Linked DNA regions of Ovis aries. The protein of the gene in region 2 purifies or fractionates together with the protein of the main gene of each other region. This does not show direct contact. Links are inferred from orthologs where the notes say so. Each region holds a gene or a part of one and is shown on either strand. Other genes may lie near its edges.

What was found.
Region 1: the proteins of DLD (region 2) and OGDH purify together in Homo sapiens (affinity purification with mass spectrometry; 3 studies listed by BioGRID and IntAct, counting the BioPlex papers as one, with this or other methods). This does not show direct contact. The link is inferred for Ovis aries from reciprocal best matches to the Homo sapiens genes DLD and OGDH.
Region 3: the proteins of DLD (region 2) and DLAT purify together in Homo sapiens (affinity purification with mass spectrometry; 4 studies listed by BioGRID and IntAct, counting the BioPlex papers as one, with this or other methods). This does not show direct contact. The link is inferred for Ovis aries from reciprocal best matches to the Homo sapiens genes DLD and DLAT.
Region 4: the proteins of DLD (region 2) and PDHB purify together in Homo sapiens (affinity purification with mass spectrometry; 3 studies listed by BioGRID and IntAct, counting the BioPlex papers as one, with this or other methods). This does not show direct contact. The link is inferred for Ovis aries from reciprocal best matches to the Homo sapiens genes DLD and PDHB.
Region 5: the proteins of DLD (region 2) and DLST purify together in Homo sapiens (affinity purification with mass spectrometry; 3 studies listed by BioGRID and IntAct, counting the BioPlex papers as one, with this or other methods). This does not show direct contact. The link is inferred for Ovis aries from reciprocal best matches to the Homo sapiens genes DLD and DLST.

What each region holds. Positions count from the first base shown.
Region 1 is NC_056057.1:78,498,207-78,502,156, forward strand, and holds the start of OGDH (2-oxoglutarate dehydrogenase complex component E1), read right to left. Parts: upstream 2,810-3,950; 5' UTR 2,783-2,809; intron 2,418-2,782; exon of another isoform or gene 2,191-2,417; intron 1-2,190. UniProt on the Homo sapiens protein: 2-oxoglutarate dehydrogenase (E1o) component of the 2-oxoglutarate dehydrogenase complex (OGDHC). Participates in the first step, rate limiting for the overall conversion of 2-oxoglutarate to succinyl-CoA and CO(2) catalyzed by the whole OGDHC.
Region 2 is NC_056057.1:50,453,952-50,457,464, reverse strand, and holds part of DLD (dihydrolipoyl dehydrogenase, mitochondrial), read right to left. Parts: intron 1,288-3,513; coding exon 1,208-1,287; intron 467-1,207; coding exon 398-466; intron 1-397. UniProt on the Homo sapiens protein: Lipoamide dehydrogenase is a component of the glycine cleavage system as well as an E3 component of three alpha-ketoacid dehydrogenase complexes (pyruvate-, alpha-ketoglutarate-, and branched-chain amino acid-dehydrogenase complex).
Region 3 is NC_056068.1:22,031,587-22,035,099, reverse strand, and holds part of DLAT (dihydrolipoyllysine-residue acetyltransferase component of pyruvate dehydrogenase complex, mitochondrial), read right to left. Parts: intron 359-3,513; coding exon 232-358; intron 1-231.
Region 4 is NC_056072.1:43,024,517-43,028,646, forward strand, and holds the start of PDHB (pyruvate dehydrogenase E1 component subunit beta, mitochondrial), read left to right. Parts: upstream 1-1,318; 5' UTR 1,319-1,348; coding exon 1,349-1,390; intron 1,391-1,475; coding exon 1,476-1,529; intron 1,530-3,298; coding exon 3,299-3,406; intron 3,407-3,490; coding exon 3,491-3,553; intron 3,554-3,656; coding exon 3,657-3,692; intron 3,693-3,854; coding exon 3,855-4,130. UniProt on the Homo sapiens protein: The pyruvate dehydrogenase complex catalyzes the overall conversion of pyruvate to acetyl-CoA and CO(2), and thereby links the glycolytic pathway to the tricarboxylic cycle.
Region 5 is NC_056060.1:84,217,014-84,221,043, reverse strand, and holds the start of DLST (dihydrolipoyllysine-residue succinyltransferase component of 2-oxoglutarate dehydrogenase complex, mitochondrial), read right to left. Parts: upstream 2,808-4,030; 5' UTR 2,769-2,807; coding exon 2,706-2,768; intron 2,105-2,705; coding exon 2,071-2,104; intron 1-2,070. UniProt on the Homo sapiens protein: Dihydrolipoamide succinyltransferase (E2) component of the 2-oxoglutarate dehydrogenase complex. The 2-oxoglutarate dehydrogenase complex catalyzes the overall conversion of 2-oxoglutarate to succinyl-CoA and CO(2).

The DNA.
Region 1 (3,950 bases), about 28 Mb from region 2:
CTATGACCTGGTGATTACACTCCTGGGAATTTTTCTCAGAGAAATGAAAACTTCTGTTCACATAAAAACCTGTATATATAACTCCATATAAGCGTGCTATGCGGGGCTGTTCAACACAAACATAATAATGTACTTTTGTGAATGAGAGTTGGCATGTCAAACGCATCCTCTAGAAAAATAACTGGTGTAATATTAAGACTTGTTTTCTAAAGTTGATACTGTGGGTTATTTTTGTGAACAGTCTGATGTTTGGGACCTTTTTTTTCTTTTCTCAGAATAAAAAAGTCCTTATTAAACCAGGAATTTGAAGGAAAAAGAAACCCCAAAAACCTGTATATAAATGTTTATAACAGCTTAACAGTCAAAGAATGGAAACCACACAGATGTCCTTCAATGACTGGAGACTTAAATCAACTATGGTACACCAATAGCCTGGTACATCGATAGCATCAAAAGCATAAAAACAAAACTACTGATATAGGCAACAACCTGCATGCATTTTCAGGGAATCACGCTTAGCAAAAAAAGCCAACCCTAAAAGGTTACATACTGTACAATTCTCGTTATGTAACATTCCTGACATGTCAAAATTATAGAAATGGAGAACAGATTAGTGGTTGCCAGGAGCTGAGGAACTGCAGGCAGGACGGAAGTGGGTACAGCCATAACAAGATAACAGGAGGGACCCCTGGCATGACGGAAAGGTTCTCTATCTTGACTGTTAATCAGGGTCAATACCTGGTTGTGATTATAGTATGAAGTTTTTGTAAAAATGTTATTTGAGAAAATGGGTAGGGACACTGGGATCTCTCTGTACTAGTTGTTGTAATTGCATGTAACAGACTTGCATGTACAATTTCTCAAAATTACAAAATTCTAGAATAAATTTCTCAATAATTGTACAATTATTCCAAAATAAAACTATCTAAAAATTTTAAAGACGATGGTACAGTACTTTTCTCAAATGGGGCAGTCAGGAGTAAGACTAATTAAAAGCAGACCTGCTACATATCTTATATATATATATCTATATATCCTGCATATATATTATGCAAGATACACATATAGCATGGTAAATATTGCACTTTTAATAAGCTGTGTGTTCAAACTGAAATGAAATCAATAGAAATTAATGTATTTCTGAAATTAAAATTAGTCTTTAAATTTTGGAGATGGCTGCATACTATGAATACACCACAAACTAGTGAATTGTATACTTGAAAGAGTGAACAGTATGGTACATGAATCATATCTCAATAAAGCTGTTAAAAGGAAAAAAAAAAGTACTTGAAATGTGGAAAATGCTCTTCAAAATTTTACCAGGATACTCTAATCTTTCTTCAACTTTCTAAGATCAGCTAATTTGCAAAGCTAGAATAGTACTATACATTTTCAGACCGTGAGGGTCTTGCACAAAAAAACTTCAGTTTGACTACTGCACCTCTTGTCACAGTGCAAGCAAGACTTCATCCAGGCCATTTATCCTAAAGCTGCTCAGAGCAGTAAACCTGGGAGTCAGCCTCTAGTCCCCGCTTCAAAGTACGGTAAAACAAAGAAGAGAAACCCCAGGACAAAACAGTTCACACCTCAGGTCTGAGTCAGCTCTCCTCGGTTATGGGTGAAGGGCAGAGAGAACAAGTTCTTGTCTGTACTCAGTGTCTCGCCACCAGTTTTCTACTAAGCTTCGGTACACGACTTACACTGACATCACCTAGCTTTGCGAAACGGAAAAGGTACACTAGTGTGTTCCTCGAGGAAACGCGCTTCATCTCAACATGAACTACCATATCCCTGGAAGAAAGAAGCGTACTGACTACAGTAGGGTACTGCAAGCTTGTCTACCCATTAAGGGTGTTGCCCCCAAAGAGTTCACAGGAGGATGGGTACTGTGGGTACTAAGCATGGAGGGATCCTGAGTATATGAGCACTAAGCAGGCATGCAGCAGAGTAACCCATCCATTAAGGGGTTAATGGATTAGAGGAGCACAGAGAATGGGAACGATGAGTGCTGAGTACAGTAAAGGTAACCGAGGATAGTGGAGGTACTAAGTGCTGGAGGGTAATTCACTCAAGGGTTCACCCAAGAAGAGCGCAGGGAGGATGGGTATGGGGGTACTGAATACACAGGATACTGTGGGGTAATCCGCTCCTCAAGGGCGTCACCCCAAGGAACATAGGAAGGATTAGTACGATGGGCACTGAAAACAGAGGGGTACTGCAGAGTAATCTGTTCCTCAAGGGGTCGTCCCAGGGGCGAAGGGTCAGTCCGGACAGAAGCCGACCAGCGTCTTCGCGCTCTGGGAAAAACGAATGCCCACAAATCACAGCCGGTTCGTCAAGGGCGCGCCACCCTTCCAGCCGTCCAGGCGGGGAGAGGACACAGCCTGACGACTCCCACGTGACGCCTCCTCGACCTTGGGGGTCACCCCGGCCGCTGCGCCCGTTCCCTCACATCCGCCGCGCAGCCCACCCCCCCCCTGCCCATCACAGCCAATGGCTTGCCGCTCCGCGCCCCGCGCGACCTCTGCGCACGCCCGCACCCGCCAATCTCCGCCCGCCAGGAGGCGCCCCCCGCACCATTGGCTGCCACATCCGTCTGTCAGGCTCCGTCCCACCCACCTCCCCCAGTCAGCCCCGCTCCAGCCAGCTCCACTCCCTGTCACCGGGGCGGCGGCGACAACGAGGGCGCGGCGGCCTTGCCCCATGCCAAGACCCTCGCCGCCTGCCTGACCGGAGCGGAGCCTCCCAAATCCGGCTGGACCCGGCCGCCGCGCAAGCCTACCTGTCTCCGGCTCAGCTCCACCCGAATGAGGCGCCGACACCCCACTCCGGGGCACCAAACTCTCGGCCCCGCCTCAGCGTGTGGCGTCAGCACGCCGCCCCGCCCGGAAACGAGAGGGGCCGCCCCTACCTCGTGAGCGGAGTCTTGACGTCACAGAGTCGCGCCCACATCTCCTGTGGCTCGGCCTTGGGGCAATAGTGTTTTCTCCGAGGTTGTGGCTTGCTTTTGGCACGTCGGGTCCTGACCGGCTTGCATGACAGTTCTGAAAGGGGGTCTGCGTGTTGCTAAGTACTGTCTCCTGCAGTAGGCTGTCAGGAGTCCTTTGATGGAGAACTGACCTGGTATGTGATGTCAGAAACAAACCTTGGTCGGCAGTGCGCGCTCGAGGCGCCGCAGGCAGTGGCCCGCGGAATGAGAACCAGGAAGTCCTAACGCTGACACTAGGTTTTCCCAAAGTAGGCAGCGGGCTCGCGGGAGCCTTCGCTTGGTGCAAGGATGGTTTATTATGCCATTTCATCAAATACCAAGTGGTCATCCGCTTTTAGAGATTATTTTACTTACTGCTGAGAAAGCGGGGGGGGGGAACCCACATTTATTGAGTGAGTGAAGTCGTTCAGTCGTGTCCGACTCTTTGCGACCCCGTGGACTGTAGCCAACCCGGCTCCTCCGCCCATGGCATTCTCCAGGCAAGAATACTGGAGTGGATTGCCATTTCCTTCTCCAGGGGATCTTCCCGACCCAGGTATCGAACCCAGGTCTCCGGCATTGCAGGCAGACGCTTTAACCTCACCTCAATCGTAGATACAGCACTATTTTCAACATGTGGAGGACAAAAATCTCAATTTTGTTGAAATACGGTAAGTTGTAAGCAATCACATACTGAGAAAGTCCTTTCAGTTCTTCAGTCTTTATTAGCAAGGGAAAAACCTAATTTAATGCTAAAGTGTCTTTAATTTCACTTTTTCTTCCTTCCCTTTTCTGACCAAGATAAAACTTAGGCTCACAACTTTCGGTGGACAATAATATACGTAGAAGTTACTTGGTCTTCCTGATTTGTGATAGGTTATCTTTGAGATATATGGCAAGTAATAGGTTTTCTGATTTACTGTAATGCTGAAATGTTTTCTTTTGTAATAAAAATGTCCATTTTAAAACTATAGTAACTAGA
Region 2 (3,513 bases):
AAACGTTCAACAAACAAGAACGAAAAAACTACTTTACTTTCTTTAAAAGCAAAGGATTAAGTATACAACTTCAGAATGGCAGGTTAAAAAAGAGGGCATTTTTCATACATAAAGGGCTTAAAAGAAGAATTTACTGCCTATTAATTGTTTCACTATAGAGGAAAGTCAAAAAAATGGAATCAGATTCTGTCATCAGAGCCTAGCTCACAGGCTAGGCATTCTGAGACAAGGAAGTTATTTCAGGAATGTATGGCAGACTGACAACAGTAACCTAAATTTTAACAAAGGAAAAAATGTGTTTTAATACCTGTATTAGTTTAACCTTCTAATCTCAATATATCCTTCCAGTTGGTGGCTAACGGAAAAAATGTCTGCACTGTACAAAACATATGCTCACCTTAGAAGGAATACAACCAACATTCAAGCATGTCCCACCGAGTGTTTCATTTTTCTCAACACAGACTGTCTATAAGCAAAGAAAATGTTATTTACTGCACATAACCTGCAATGTTTCAGTTCACCAAAATTCCAAATGTGTGCCTTAATTCTTCTACAAAACATGCTACTGAAAGTGTTTGTGAGAATGAAATATATAGACTCTTAAAATTTATTATCTGCATAATACTAACTCAAAAGTGAATCATTCTGAAAGATATTTGTTTAAAAACCGGATCATGTTTTTATTTAGCTCTATTACTCTATCTTCCAAAGTGTGTACATGTGCATGCTAAGTCACTTCGGTAATATCCACCTCTGTGGGACCCTACAGACTGTAGCCTGTCAGGTTCCTCTGTCCATGGGATTCTCCAGGCAAGAATACTGGAGCGGTTGCCATGCATTCCTCCAGGGGATCCTCCCAACCCAGGGATCGAACCTGCATCTCTTAAGTCTTCTGCACTGGCACACAGGTTCTTTACCACTAGCATCACTTGGGATTCCCAAAGTGTGACTAGAAGCCAAAACAAAACAAAAAATACGGGGTGGGGGGTGGTGTGCGGCAGGGAGGGGATAGTGACTTCACTTTCCATTTCACGAAAATACTACAACTGAATGAATCCTCTCTCTTCATTAGTCTCAGACCTAAATATAATTTATAGAATTAGGAAATTATTTATCATTACTAATTACCTGCAAAGTATTTTGTGAATGTGCTCAACCCTTCCCAAATGAAAAGGCAATCAACGCCTAATCTGAGCTTAAACCTTACCTTGAAGCCTAACTGGGCAGCTTTAATAGCAGCAACATATCCTCCAGGACCAGAGCCAATTACTGTCACATCAGCATCAACTACAATCAAAGCAAATTGATACAAAACAATAAATTGCTTATTACTGATCAAAAGCACTACAGTTAAAAGTGCAAATAACCAGCATTTTCTACATAGTACTATTCATTCCGAGGTACCCGACATTCTCTGACATAACTGAAAATGACACTGAGTTTAAAATTTTGTTTTCTATTTATTCATTATGGCATATCAAAATATAACTGAGTTCTGTACCCACTGTATCTACTGACTTTGCTAAATTCCACAGTTTTATTGAATGATAATGGACAGACATTTAGTGACATAGCTGTATGAAGGAAAGAGCCTGAGCTGTGCAATCTGTCATACCTGGCTTCAAATCTCAACTCTTATCATTTATTAGCTGCGTGACTAAGAGACTTCATTTTTCTGTAATATAGGAACAATAACACTACCATGAATGACTGATGTTTGGATTAAATAAAATAATTTCGTATAATACCTTAGTTCTTTCAATAAACTCAAAACCGATTATATCCTTTTCAGGTACTTAACTTCTGAAGTAACAGGGGAAAAATTCTGCTTCCCTATAATACTTGGCAAATACATTCTGAACTATTTGAATAGTGATAAATTTTGTATAGTTTAATAGGCTAAACAGAACACTCAATGAACTATTCTGGACATTTATCATATAAAGATAAGAAACTGAAAATTAACTTTGATCAGTAGTCTTAGGAGTATAATAATTACGAAACAAATGTAAAGATACGTTGCAATTATTCCCAGTCTTCTCAATACAACATCAAATCAAGCAACAATAACCATTAAGAGTTAGACACAGTCTCCCTTCTCCCCCATCCACTGTCCTTACAATCTCAGTGACTCTAAAACTTAGTAGTTTTAACACACTTTCACATGTTTTTCTCAGAACTTCCTAGGAGAAAGGTAAGGATGCAATATATATATATATCTATATATATATCTATCACAGGTAAAAAACACTAGGTTAAAAAAGAAAAAACCCACTAGTTTCAGACAGTTCAATTAAACTTGCTCAAGTTTAGCAGCCATGTGACAGAGACAAAATTAGGCTTTTTGTCTCTCCTTCCAGCAGTCTATTATTTAGTATTACTCAGTTCCTTAATTTCAACTACCTCCAAGAGCAATAATCAAGCTGTATAATTACTAGCTATCTAACCTTAGGTGAGTAATTTAATCTGCTTCACCTTCAGTTTTCTCATCTGCAAAATAAGGAGTACACAAAAAAATATCTACCTCACAAGGCTGTAATATAAAACAAATAAATATGCAAATAGCTTAACACAGTACCCAAATGTATATAGTATTTGCTATATAATAGCTATATTCTGATCTACAAAGACAACAATTTTAATTTCTTATCATCCCCTTCCCCACAAAACACATACCCCTAGGGGATGGGAGTAGAGTATCCTTTAAAAGACTTTTGCTGGCCTCAACAGAATCACAGAAGCTATGTTGGAGGACAAGTAATAGGTTATCCAACCCAGTTATCCACAAAATCTAAGAATCACCCTACTGAATAAATTAAAGTACTGATTATCCTTGGTAATAATCTGGGTTACTCATACATGAAAAAAATATACCTAGACTAACACACGATTAAAAGTATCGTATCAATTCTCCTGATCCATTTGTGCTTTTTGGCCATACTGCTTAGTTCACTCATTCATGTTCAGAATTAAGTATATAATAAAATATATTTTGATTTTCAAATAGAAATTTCTATAAAATACATTTCTATTTTCAAATCTTGAACCAAATGAGGACCTACCCAACATCCCTTAGTTTGGGTCTAATTTTTAATTTCACAGTAATCTAAAGACAAGCTAAAAAACTTATTTCTTGCCTAAATGTTTAACATTTTAAATTATACAGGTTTATTGAATAAACTTAAATACAAAAAAAAGTCAAAAACGTGTGTTTTATTTCCCAATTTACTATGTGATCTTAGGTCTTTTTCAAAGCTACAGAAAATGCCAAGAAACAGTTCAGTTTGCACTGAAGATACTAGATGTTCCATTCCATGAGAATCCCACTAACATGCTAGGAAGCACAAAGATGAAGGGAAAGAAGAAAAGTCTTCATTTAAAGATCTGTCAGCTGAAGTACAGGAGGGCATTCAGTTCAGTTGCTCAGTTGTGTCCCACTCTTTGTGACCCCATGGACTGCAGCACGTCATCATATGGGTGTGATTCAGGGCAAAGTTTTAAAAATAAGCCATT
Region 3 (3,513 bases), on a different chromosome or scaffold from region 2:
CTAAAAATTATCTCCAAGGCGATACATCCTTGATTCAATGATAGTGCAGTATGGAACCGACAGATCCAACTATGCGATATTTTTGTTATGAAAATACTCTGTTCCAGGAAATTAATCCCAAGAATTAAAATTTTTCATGTTATCACTCACTTATTATAGGATAGGATGGCAATCCTCTTCCCTCACCGGAAAACTCAGTGTCTCAACCATTAAGAGCTGAAGAAATCTCACCTATAGTGGCCTTGTCAGTCTCTATCTCTGCCAATAAATCTCCTTCATTTAGCTTCTCACCCACTTTTTTTTCCCATCTCTGAACTGTGCCCATGGTCATGGTGGGAGAGAGGGCAGGAAGAAGCACCTGTAGAAACAAACATATATTTTATTATTACTCAATATTAGGATGCTTTTGACACAATGGCACTCAGGCAAGCAAATAGCTTTATGGAATGACAGCGACTATGACAATCCAAATTCCCATCTGCCTGATGCTCCCACAGCAGCAAAAGCCTCGAGCTTCAGTAGCGTCCCTACAGGTAAATCCTTTAAATCTCAAGCTTTTATAGTGCCAGTGATACTCTGACCCACCCTTCAAAGTTAAAAACCACAGGCAGAGGGGAAAGATTTCTTTCTAGATGGCTAAAATTAATTCCTCAACGATATCTAAACATAGAACATCTCATCTTTCTTAACACTTAGATTAAGCTAGAGGTTTTTCATCTTCATAGAATGACCTCAGACTTTTCCACTAAAATTTTACTGTGTGCTTTATTGAAATCCACCTTTTCATTCAGAGGAGACTGAATTTCTCCCAAACTCCCTGGATACTTTATTAAATTTTTAATTATTTATTTTTGGTTGCTCTGGGTCTTCATTGCTGTACACAGGCTTTCGCTAGTTGCACTGAGCAGGTGCTACTCTCCAGCTACAGTGCACAGGCCTCCCATTGGAGAGGTTTCTCTGGTTGCAGAGCATGGGCTCAAGGCACGCAGGCTCAGTAGGTGGAGCTTTTGGGTTTGAGAGCACAAGCTCAGTAGTTGTGGCACATGCGTTTAGTTGCTCTTCAGCATGTGAGAATCTTCCCAGACCAGGGATTGAACCTGTGACCCCTGCAGGCAGATTCTTAACCATTGGACCACTAGCCAAGTCCCTCCCAGGTACTTTTTCAAGATAAAAAACTAATATCAAGGACTGTTCGGGACTTCCCAGGTGGCCCAGTGGTTTAGACTCTGTGCTCCCAATGCAGCAGGGCACAGGTTAATCCCTGTATGGGGAACTAAGATCCTGAATGCTATATGGCATGGCTGAAAAAAAACCCCAAACAACAAAAACCTGTTCTTACAATAGTCACTTCCACCTGAGTAAAATGTAAAACAGATTGGCTAATCTAAATTAAAGACTGCTTCCCTATTTATATGGCTTGTATGTTCACTGAATTTGGATGCTCACTCAGTTACGGTTTTGTTTGCTATCTTCTTAAGTCTTTTGCATCTATTTAACATAAGGATTATGCTGAGAGAAAAGTCATTTTAATTGATGATGTCTCAGGAAGCTGTGGGGAAAAAAGCAAAACAAAACTTAGAACTCTCGACCTTCTCTGGTGGTCCAGTGGTTAGGAATCCGCCTGCCAATTCAGAGGACTTTGATCCCTGGACTGAGAAGATCCCACATGCCTTGGGGCAACGAATCCCATGAGCCACAATTACTAAGCCCATGCCCTAGAGCCCTCGAGCTGCAACTACTGAAGCTCCTGTACCTACAGTTCATGCTCTGCAACAAGAGAAGTCATCACAATAAGAAGTCCAAGCACCATAACAAGAGAGTAGCCCCTGCTTACCAAAATTAGAGAAAGCCTTCTCTTGGCAATGAAGACCCAGCACAGACAAAAAAAATTTCTGTAACTTTTTTTTAAATTAAAAATTTTAAAAATTTGCTGAACAGGATGAAATAAATGTGTGAACTGACCACCAGGCAAAATTCCATCATGAGTGAATGTTAATAAAAGACCAGGGAATAGAACATGATGCCCAAAGAAGAAAATTATTCCTATACAAAAATTTCTACAAATAATCTAAGAGAAGAAAAAGTTCTAGTCTTAATTCTTTAGGAAAAAATGCAGCTGGCTTTTATCCATTTCCAATATCCAAAACACACAAATATACAGGGGGTAATCCTAATATCTAATAAACTAATCAGTAGACACTGATTTAGTTAACAGAATCAACAGTGACTACATTTACCACCTTCAGCTTTGTTGTGACGCTATTATACATGTCTGTGCTGAATCGCTCAGTCATGTCTGACTCTTTGAGACCCCATGGAATGTAGCCCTCCATGCTCCTCTGTCCATGAGGATTCTCCAGGCAAGAATACTGGAGTAGATTACCATGCCCTCCTCCAGATTATATATGTCTATTTGACGCTTATTCTTTATTGTTAGTCTTTTCTAAATACTACTGGATTATTTCACTTACTCTGAGAAAACAGAACACTACATGTCAAGGAAAAACACTAACTGGGGGCTTTTATTCAATAGACAGCACTTCACGCCTACTAAAAAAACTCTATACAGGGAGTATATATAAGTGGGTTTCCCAGGTGGTGCTAGCGGTAAAGAACCTGCCTGCCGATACTGCTGCTGCTGCTGCTGCTAAGTCACTTCAGTCGTGTCCGACTCTGTGTGACCCCATAGACGGCAGCCCACCAGGCTCCGTCATCGCTGGGATTCTCCAGGCAAGAACACTGGAGTGGGTTGCCATTTCCTTCTCCAATGCATGAAAGTGAAAAGTGAAAGTGAAGTTGCTCAGTCGTGTCCGACTCTTCATGACCTCATGGACTGCGGCCTACCAGGCTCCTCCGTCCATGGATTTTCCAGGCAAGAGTACTAGAGTGGGTTGCCATTGCCTCTTAGGTACTGTATAATAACAAATTAACAAAAGGATCCAAAGGTCTTTAGCAGGAGGAAGAATATAGAAAGTAACCAACCATAACCTCAGAAGAGGAAGAAACTCAGGACTGAGGAAAAAAATTCTGACACAGTTTTTATGCCCCAACTCCCATAACATTTTTGCCCTGAATAAAGTCACAAAATTTTTGGACAATTAATTTTTTTATCTTTTTACATGTGTAGGTCACTTTTATTCTGAGCCTTTCCCAAATAATTATTTTAAGGAAGACTTCTTTCTACACATCCTGACATCTTGCTATTAAAATGGCATGTTAAAACTGGTCAAGTGATAAATCACTCAGCAATGTTACTGGCTTAATTTCAATTCTAACCTGGGTATTAATGTTCAAGCAATATCTATCTTTATGTCACGGCTTGTACTCAGTCATGCCTCACTGTATTTGCAATCCCTCGAACTGTAGCCCACCAAGCTCCTCTATCTATGGGATTTTCCCACCAAGAATACTGAAGTGGGTTGCCATTTCCTATTCCAGGGGATCTTCTCAACCCAGGGATCAAACCCACGTCTCCTGCATTGGCAGGCAAATTCTTTACCACAGAGCCACCAT
Region 4 (4,130 bases), on a different chromosome or scaffold from region 2:
AGATCCTTATCTCCTACACCTAGTCGCCTCTCTTCTCAGACCCACCCAACAAAAACAAAGAAAACCCAAACCTTCCTCAACTCTTCCCCTTCCCTATTGATTCCAGTCCCAAACAGATCTCAAACCTGCCACCTGCTTGTCATGCTGAAGCTGTCCTCTATTCCAGTTCTCTCTACCAAAGTCTCCCTGGGGTCTCCCTGCTTCTGCCCTCACCCCTCTCCTCTCACTCAGCAACCAGATTCCTGTGACCTAGTCTCTCCCTGCTGCACTGGCTTCTCGGGGCCCTTACAGTAAACCCAGATTCTCAGGTTACAGACCAGCAGCTCGCAACCCTCACAGAAATTTCTGAAATGTCCTGGATAAGAGTGGGGACTGGGGGAGTCCCCAAAGGTTCTACGTGACCCATTCCCCTCCCTCCCAAGTCAAAATGAGACCAATGAGATAAAGCTTCCAGAGGCTTCCCTAGTCAGGTTATGTTCAGTCACTAGGCGTGTCCAACTCTTTGTGACCCCATGGACTGCAGCACGGCAAGCCCCCCTGTCCCTTACCATCTCCCAAAACTTTGCCCAAGTTCATGTCCATTGTACGGGTGATGCCATCCAGCCATCTTATTCTGTGACGCCCTCTTCTCAGGTGATAGGCCCTCTCTAAATGCAGGTTGTTGTAACTCCCTCCCAGGTTGGGACCCCAAATTCCGCTTTACGAAGCAGTGGGGAAAGACTACCTTTTACAGTCAGGAGTCATAAAGTCAAATTCTGGCTCCTTTAACCAATCCTTACTTCATTCAGTCTACCCATCTGAGAAATAGAGCTAATAATATTAACACTAATTACCTGAGAGGGTTCCTATGAGAATTAAGTGAGCCCTAAAGCACGTAACATAATGCCTGGCACACATGAAAGCTAGCTCCAGTTCACATTCTAAGGAACCACAAGACAGTGTTTCCAGGGTAACTTGTCACACTGTAAATACCCAGTCACCAGATTATGTATAAAGTGCTCCTTCGTACCAAAGCGTTTCTGTGCCTGCAGTTTTCACGGCCTCGAGTTACGCTCATCAGCGTCTGACTTTCGTTCCCCGCGTCCAAAATACTAACACGGAGGGACGCGCTCCGGGCGTGCACCCCGAGCGCCGGCAACCGCCTGCGCTCCCTAGTTTCCCGGCCGCCGCAGACTGGGACCACCCACACGCCCCTCGGCCCGCCCCCTCGGCCCATGACGCACTGCGGGAGGCGGGGCACGCAGGCGTCGTGCCCTGCCATTGGCCCGCGCCGGCGGGGGAGCGGGGTCCGACTCGTCCGCGGCCCTGCTGTGCTGTCATTTGGCAGCGGCTAGAGGACACGGTCAAGATGGCGGTGGTTGCTGTGTTGGTGCGGAGACCCCTTGAGCAGGTAGGCAACGGCTCCCTTGCTATGACCCTGCGCGACCCCTGCCCACTCGGTTCCCCTCTGAGCGTCCTCTCTCTCTCCCTGCCAGGTCTCCGGGCTGCTGAGGAGGCAGTTCCACCGGACCGCGCCGGCTGCACTGCAGGTAACTGGCCCGGACGCTAGTCGGGCCGGGAGGGCCCCCTTGCCCCAGGGCAGAGGCTGGGGTCTCATGTCACCCACGCGAGGCTTAATGGAATCAAATGGCCGATCTGAGAGAACTAGACGTGACACTTCTTCCCTCACCTCCCCTTAAAATTTTTTATTGTGGTAAAATATACATAACAAAATTTACTGTTTTAAACTGGATATTCAGTGGCGCTAAGTGCATTTAGCACGTCTTCCATTCACCACCAGAACTTTATCATCGTCCCAAACAGAAACTGTACTTACTGAACAGTAACGCTTCCTTAGCCCCTGGTGACCTCTAACCCCTCGGTACTTTTCTGTGGTGATGAATTCATGTATTCTAGGGATGGCCTATTGGAGAAGGAAATGGCCACCCACTCCAGGATTCTTGCCTAGAGAATCCCAGGGACAGAGGAGCCTGATGGGCTGCTGTCTGTGGGGAAGAACAGGGTCAGACACGATTGAAGCGACTTAGCAGCAGCAGCAGCAGCAGCAGCAGCAGCAGCAGCAGCAGGGGTGGCCTGTAAATGGAATCATTTAATATTTTTCCTTATAGGTCTGACTTCTTTCACTTACCAAGTTTTCAAGGTTCATCCATGTTGTAGCATGTGTCAGAATTTCATTCGTTTTTAAGGCTGAATAGTATTCCGTTGTAGGCATGTACCACCTTTTCTTACCCACTCACCATTGATGGACACCTGAGTTGTTTCCACCTGTTGGATTTTGAATAATGGTGCTGTGAACTTTGATGTGCAATTATCTGAGTCCCCGCTTTCAGTTCTTTTTTTTTTTTTTAATTTTAAAATCTTTAATTCTTACATGCATTCCCAAACATGAACCCCCCTCCCACCTCCCTCCCCATAACATCTCTCTGGGTCATCCCCATGCACCAGCCCCAAGCATGCTATATCCTGCGTCAGACATAGACTGGCGCCGCTTTCAGTTCTTTGGGGTATAAAATCTAGAAGTTGGAATTGTTGGATTATATGGTAATTCTGTGTTCAAGTTTTTGAGGAATTTCTCTTTCTCATTTCTGTTACTGGAGGATTCTACCAACCTTTATAGTTGAGTAATTCCTAGATCCTGAAGGCAAAGTGTGTGGCAGTGTCTGGCGCTTAGTTAGTGCTCATTATGTAGTGTTCCTTAGGCTTCCTTGACTGTTCTCTGCCCCACAGTATACCAAACGTGGAAATAAAATTATCCAGTATACTCTCTACTTAGGAAAGCACCTGTGAACTGGCCTGGCCAGCAAGCAGATTTCTCAAGATTAGGTAGTCATTAAGAAAAAGGGGACTTCCCTGCTGGTCCAGTGGTTAAGAATCCACCGTGCAATGCAGGGGACGTGGGTTCAATCCCTGTTCAGGGAACTAAGATCCCACATGGGAAACTGAGCCTGTGCGCCACTACTGCTGAGCTCTTGGATGGCAGCTGCTGAGCCAGTGAGCCACAATGAAAGATCCCGCACAACACAGCGGGAAGATCCCATATGTGCGACTAAAACCCAGTGCAGCCAATAAATATTAAAAAGGGAAGTGTTTAGTATACTTTTCATTCATACATCTAATCATAGACTGGCAATAAGCAATAGAAATGTTACTTTTTAAATTCTTTGAACTTGTAAAGAGAAGCCTGTTCTACTGATGGTTTTTGTCTAGTGTGCTGTGGGCAGCCTAGGTCAAGAGAGACTCTCAGTAGTATCCTAAGTAATCTTGTAGTTTATTGACTGCTTTCCCATGCCTGTGACAGGTGACAGTTCGTGAGGCTATAAATCAAGGCATGGATGAGGAGCTGGAAAGAGATGAGAAGGTATTTCTCCTTGGGGAAGAAGTTGCCCAGTACGATGGGGCATATAAGGTAAGTAAGGAAAAAAAAAAACACTATACAGAATTGAGATGGTCATTTGCCCCCACTTAGAAGTAATGGGGTCATTGCTTATAGGTTAGTCGAGGCCTGTGGAAGAAATACGGAGATAAGAGGATCATAGATACTCCCATATCTGAGGTAAGCCTTCCATCAGGAAGCAGACCTTGGAGGGGCATGTCTGTTAAAGGATACTACTATAATTTTTGTGGATTTTTACTTACATTTGCATTTTACTTTCTAGATGGGTTTTGCTGGAATTGCTGTAGGTGCAGCTATGGTAGGTAGTCTTCTTTGTGAATCTCACCCAAAGAGTTTCTTTTAACAACACCTTTTAAAATCACTGCTTGAGTGTTGGGGGTGGGGCAAAGTAGTTATTTGCCACTCTAAACTGATGTTTTCCAGTCTTTTCAACATCTTTTCAACATTTTTGATTTGACAGGCTGGGTTACGGCCCATTTGTGAATTCATGACCTTCAATTTCTCTATGCAAGCCATCGACCAGGTCATAAACTCAGCTGCCAAGACGTACTACATGTCAGGGGGCCTTCAGTCTGTGCCCATAGTCTTCAGGGGGCCCAATGGCGCCTCAGCAGGTGTAGCTGCCCAGCACTCACAGTGTTTTGCTGCCTGGTATGGGCATTGCCCAGGCTTAAAGGTGGTCAGCCCCTGGAGTTCAGAGGATGCAAAAGGGCTTATTAAATCAGCCATTCGGGAT
Region 5 (4,030 bases), on a different chromosome or scaffold from region 2:
TCTGCTTCACCTGATTATATTCTTTCATGTGTCTTGTTTTTTCAGATCAAAAACAACTCTTTCTGAACCATGGGCACAGGAAATACCAACTGGAAGACAATTCTCTCTTGTCCCAGCTTCCCACAAACATCCTCAAGGTTTCAGTCAAGTAAGTCACCTCTTTATGATCAATAGCCAACAACTACAGTACAAATCCCAAACACAGCATGTTGATGAGCTTGCAGCCAGCAAGCAGCCCATACTGATTTTTGGAACTCTAAGTTCACTTTAGAGTTTATCCTACAGCAAGTTTCATTTGTACAGTGCTTTAGAATTTATAAAAAGCTTTCATATAATGACCTCATTTTGATTTTCATCTCACACTCCCTGAAGTGGAATGACCATTGCCATTCTTCTCATTTCATATATAAGCAGAGCTTTGGGAGGTTAAGTGGCTAGCCCAAGGAGAAGCCCTTAACCAGAACACAAAAGGCAAGAACAAGGCGCTTCCCATTGTCCTGCCAGTCTATAAAATGGAGAAAATGTTTACTGACATTTTTCAAAACTCCAAGGTAAAGAGTTTATTAATGAGAGTCCCCTATGAGCTAACACTGTGCTGGGTTCTTATGATCTCATGACTCTAAGGATGAAGTCCAAAACCTTTACACGTTCCTGTCCAGCCCTTCCAGACAAGCTTCTTTTCCATTTCTATGACTGGTCATGCCTCTTTCTGTCTGAAAACTTTGCCTAAGCCATTCATTCCCTTTGCCTAAAATATCTTTCTCTTGGCCATCTCCTATATATTCTCCAAGACTTGGCATAAATGTCACTTCTCTGGGGAAGCCTTTACTGATGGTGCCACCTCACTCACCACCCTCCCAAGCCTGGCTATATCATCCTACCCCCTACTTCTCTTTCACAGTAATCACAATGTAATTATGTACTTATGTAATTAAGGGTACTTATGTACCCTCCTGGAGGGTAGAGACCACCTCTATCCCTGCCACCTAGCATAGTGTCTGGCATGTAGTGACAATTCAACAAATAATCTATTCATTGTGAGTAAATGATAATATGATGGGTGAGGAGTTCAGGCTGAGGAGCAGACTCAGCTTGACCAATAGTTGGCACAGTGACCTTGGTCAAGGCACTTAACCTCTCTTGGCCTTGAGTCATACATTCGTAAAATAGAGAAAATATTTATTTTACTGTTTCTTGATGAGTAACTGAAAAAATGCACAGAAAGCACTCAGAACAATACTTGGCACATAGAATGCCCATAAGAAAATCAACTCATTCAATGAATATTTATGCCAAGCATATAAAGAAATTATTGGGATTAAAAACCTGAATTCTTTCCACTCGTCTTTCTGCCATCTTCTATCTCATGCCACTCTCTCCCTCAACCAAAATGCTCTGGCCAAATCACCTCTTTTGCTAGTTCCAAAATATCGACAAGCGCTTTCCTTCCTCAAGGACTTTATACATGTCATTCCCTTTCCTTCTCCTGCTCTTCATCTGGATGGCTCCTGTCCTGCCACATCCTCTGGGTCACAGCTTCAGTGTCCAGCTTCACTTGTTTCCTTTTCAGCATCCAGGATAGTCCATTTGTTGAGCAATTTACATATTCTTTCCCTAGCTAGGTTGTAAGCTCCCGGAGGGTGAGAAACTCACCATCCACCCTTCACTGCTATATCCCCTGTGAGTGCCTAGCAGCACAGGTGCCTGACACTGAGTAGATACTGAGTAACTGTGCTAAATGAACAAACGGCAGCTGTTACTAAATAGCATTTGGGGTGGCTTCCAGTGGCTAGGACTCTGCACTTCCAACCAATGCGGGGCAGGGGTTGGGTGGGGCGGCGATCCCCGTTCCATCCCTAGTCGGGGAACTAGATTCCCAAGTGCCTCAACTAAGACCCGGTGCAGCCAAATAAATCAATAATTTTAAAAAATAAAATAATCTTTTGTTTCGCTCCTCTCTCTCTCTCTGAACACGAGGCGGAGAAACACAGGCACCCAATTTCCTCACACGCGGTCTACCCACGAGGAGGCGAGAGCATTTTTAGGGGACGGCAAAAGGGCAGAACTTACCAGGCAGGGAACGTCTCACTAGAGGGCAGTTCCCCTGTTGAGAAAGAAGACGTCGGTCACCCGAGACGAAAAGTGAGGGAAGAAACAGCTTTTTCAAGTACAGACCTAAAGCTGCCCCCGGGACTGGTGACAGGTGAACCTCGGGCCTCCTCCCAAAGGCAAAGGCAACAGCAACAACGCGGGCGGGACGCCGGGCCTGCCAGACTATCTCAACCTTCCCCCACAGGAGTGAAAACCCACCGCCTTTTAACAGATTAGAAAAGAGGCCCTGGGATCCAGACGGGGGCTTCCGCGGCGCCTCCCGCCCCGCGTCCCCGAGCTCTAATAGAGTCTGGTGTCCTGGCGGGCGCGGCTCTGGGCGGCTCCTCCGCCCGCGCGGACGCAGGGTGGGGTCCGGCAGGGGCCGCGGCGCCGGCGGCCGCGGGAAGAGCTCCCGGCCGCTAGGCTCCACAAGACGGCCCCGGAGGCGACAGCGGCTCCGGGCCGCCCAGCCCCGCGGCGGCGGCCTCCGCGTCCCGGTGCCCTTGGTGCCCGGCCTGGCCGGCGCGCCACGCCCCTTGTCGTCCCCACCCCACCCCGTCTGCCCGCCGGCGACTTTCTCTCCCGCCGGGGGTCCCGGCCCGGTCGGACCGTACCTTCTGGAAGGCGGAGAGCGAGCGGCTGAACGCCCGGGACGCGCAGCGGGACCGGGACAGCATCACGGCGGCGGAGCCGAGGGCGGGCGGACACCGGATATCGGCCCCGGCAGCAACCGGAAGTGGGTCGGGCCGCGGCACCCGCTGCGCGGGGAGGGGGGTGAATGGGTGTCCGGACCGAACCACTGGCGGGAGGAACGGGGCGGGGCCTGCTGCGGCTCAGGCCGGGCCTCCCGAAGGCTCCTGAGACCGTCTGGCGACAGATCGCTCCGGCTCCGGGTTGCCACCCTCCCCGTATCTCTCCGCGGAGCTTTCGGATAAACTCGGCGTCCATCTCTCTTGGGACACCCTCCCACCCAGGGCACCGCGCTATTCCTTCCCCGCATTCCCGGGGGGCAAAAAGCCGAAGGCGGCGTGGGCTTCTTCGGACTCGGACCTTGGGCTGACGTGCCTGTGCGATCTTACACTTTGTGTGGCCTTGGTCAGGTGACATTGCTTCCCTAAGCCTCAGGTTCCTCAAAGATAGAGCGGGGAAAAAAAAAAAACAACAAACTTCGCTCGCTCCCTAACCCCGGAACAAAGAACTGGAGCACCGAGGAACCTCTAAAGGGCTCCCGTTGCCCTTTAACTGACCTGAAGATGTTCAGCAAGCCTTCTTCTGCATCCTTGTCTCCTCATCATCCCTGCTCAAACTCTCTCCAGCCGAGCTGGTTGTTCCCCATACCTCTTGCGCGTTTTGGAGGCTCTTCGTCATTCTACCCCTCGAATATAAACTCCGTGAGATTAGGAACGTGGTCTATCTTGTTCACTTCTTATATCTCTGGCCATTTACTAAAACTACAGTTTTTGTTAAAATATTATTAACTTGTAGCACTGTATACGGAGAAGGCAATGGCAGCCCACTCCAGTACTCTTGCCTGGAAAATCCCATGGACGGAGGAGCCTGGTGAGCTGCAGTCTATGGGGTCGCGAAGAGTCGGACACGACTGAGCGACATCACTTTCACTTTTCATTGTCATGCATTGGAGAAGGAAATGGCAACCAACTACAGTGTTCTTGCCTGGAGAATCCTACGGACGGCAGAGCCTGGTGGGCTGCCGTCTATGGGGTCGCACAGAGTCGGACCCGACTGAAGCGCCGCCGCAGCAGCACTGTGTAAATTTAAGATAGCGTAATTTGATTTATGTATCTCATGAAGTGATTATCACAAAAAGTTTAGCGAGCATCATCACCTCAGCGTTCAAAAAACTAAGATCTTGGCAATCCATTCCCATCACGTTATGGCAAATAGATGAGGAAAAAATGGAAACCGTGACAGACTTAAT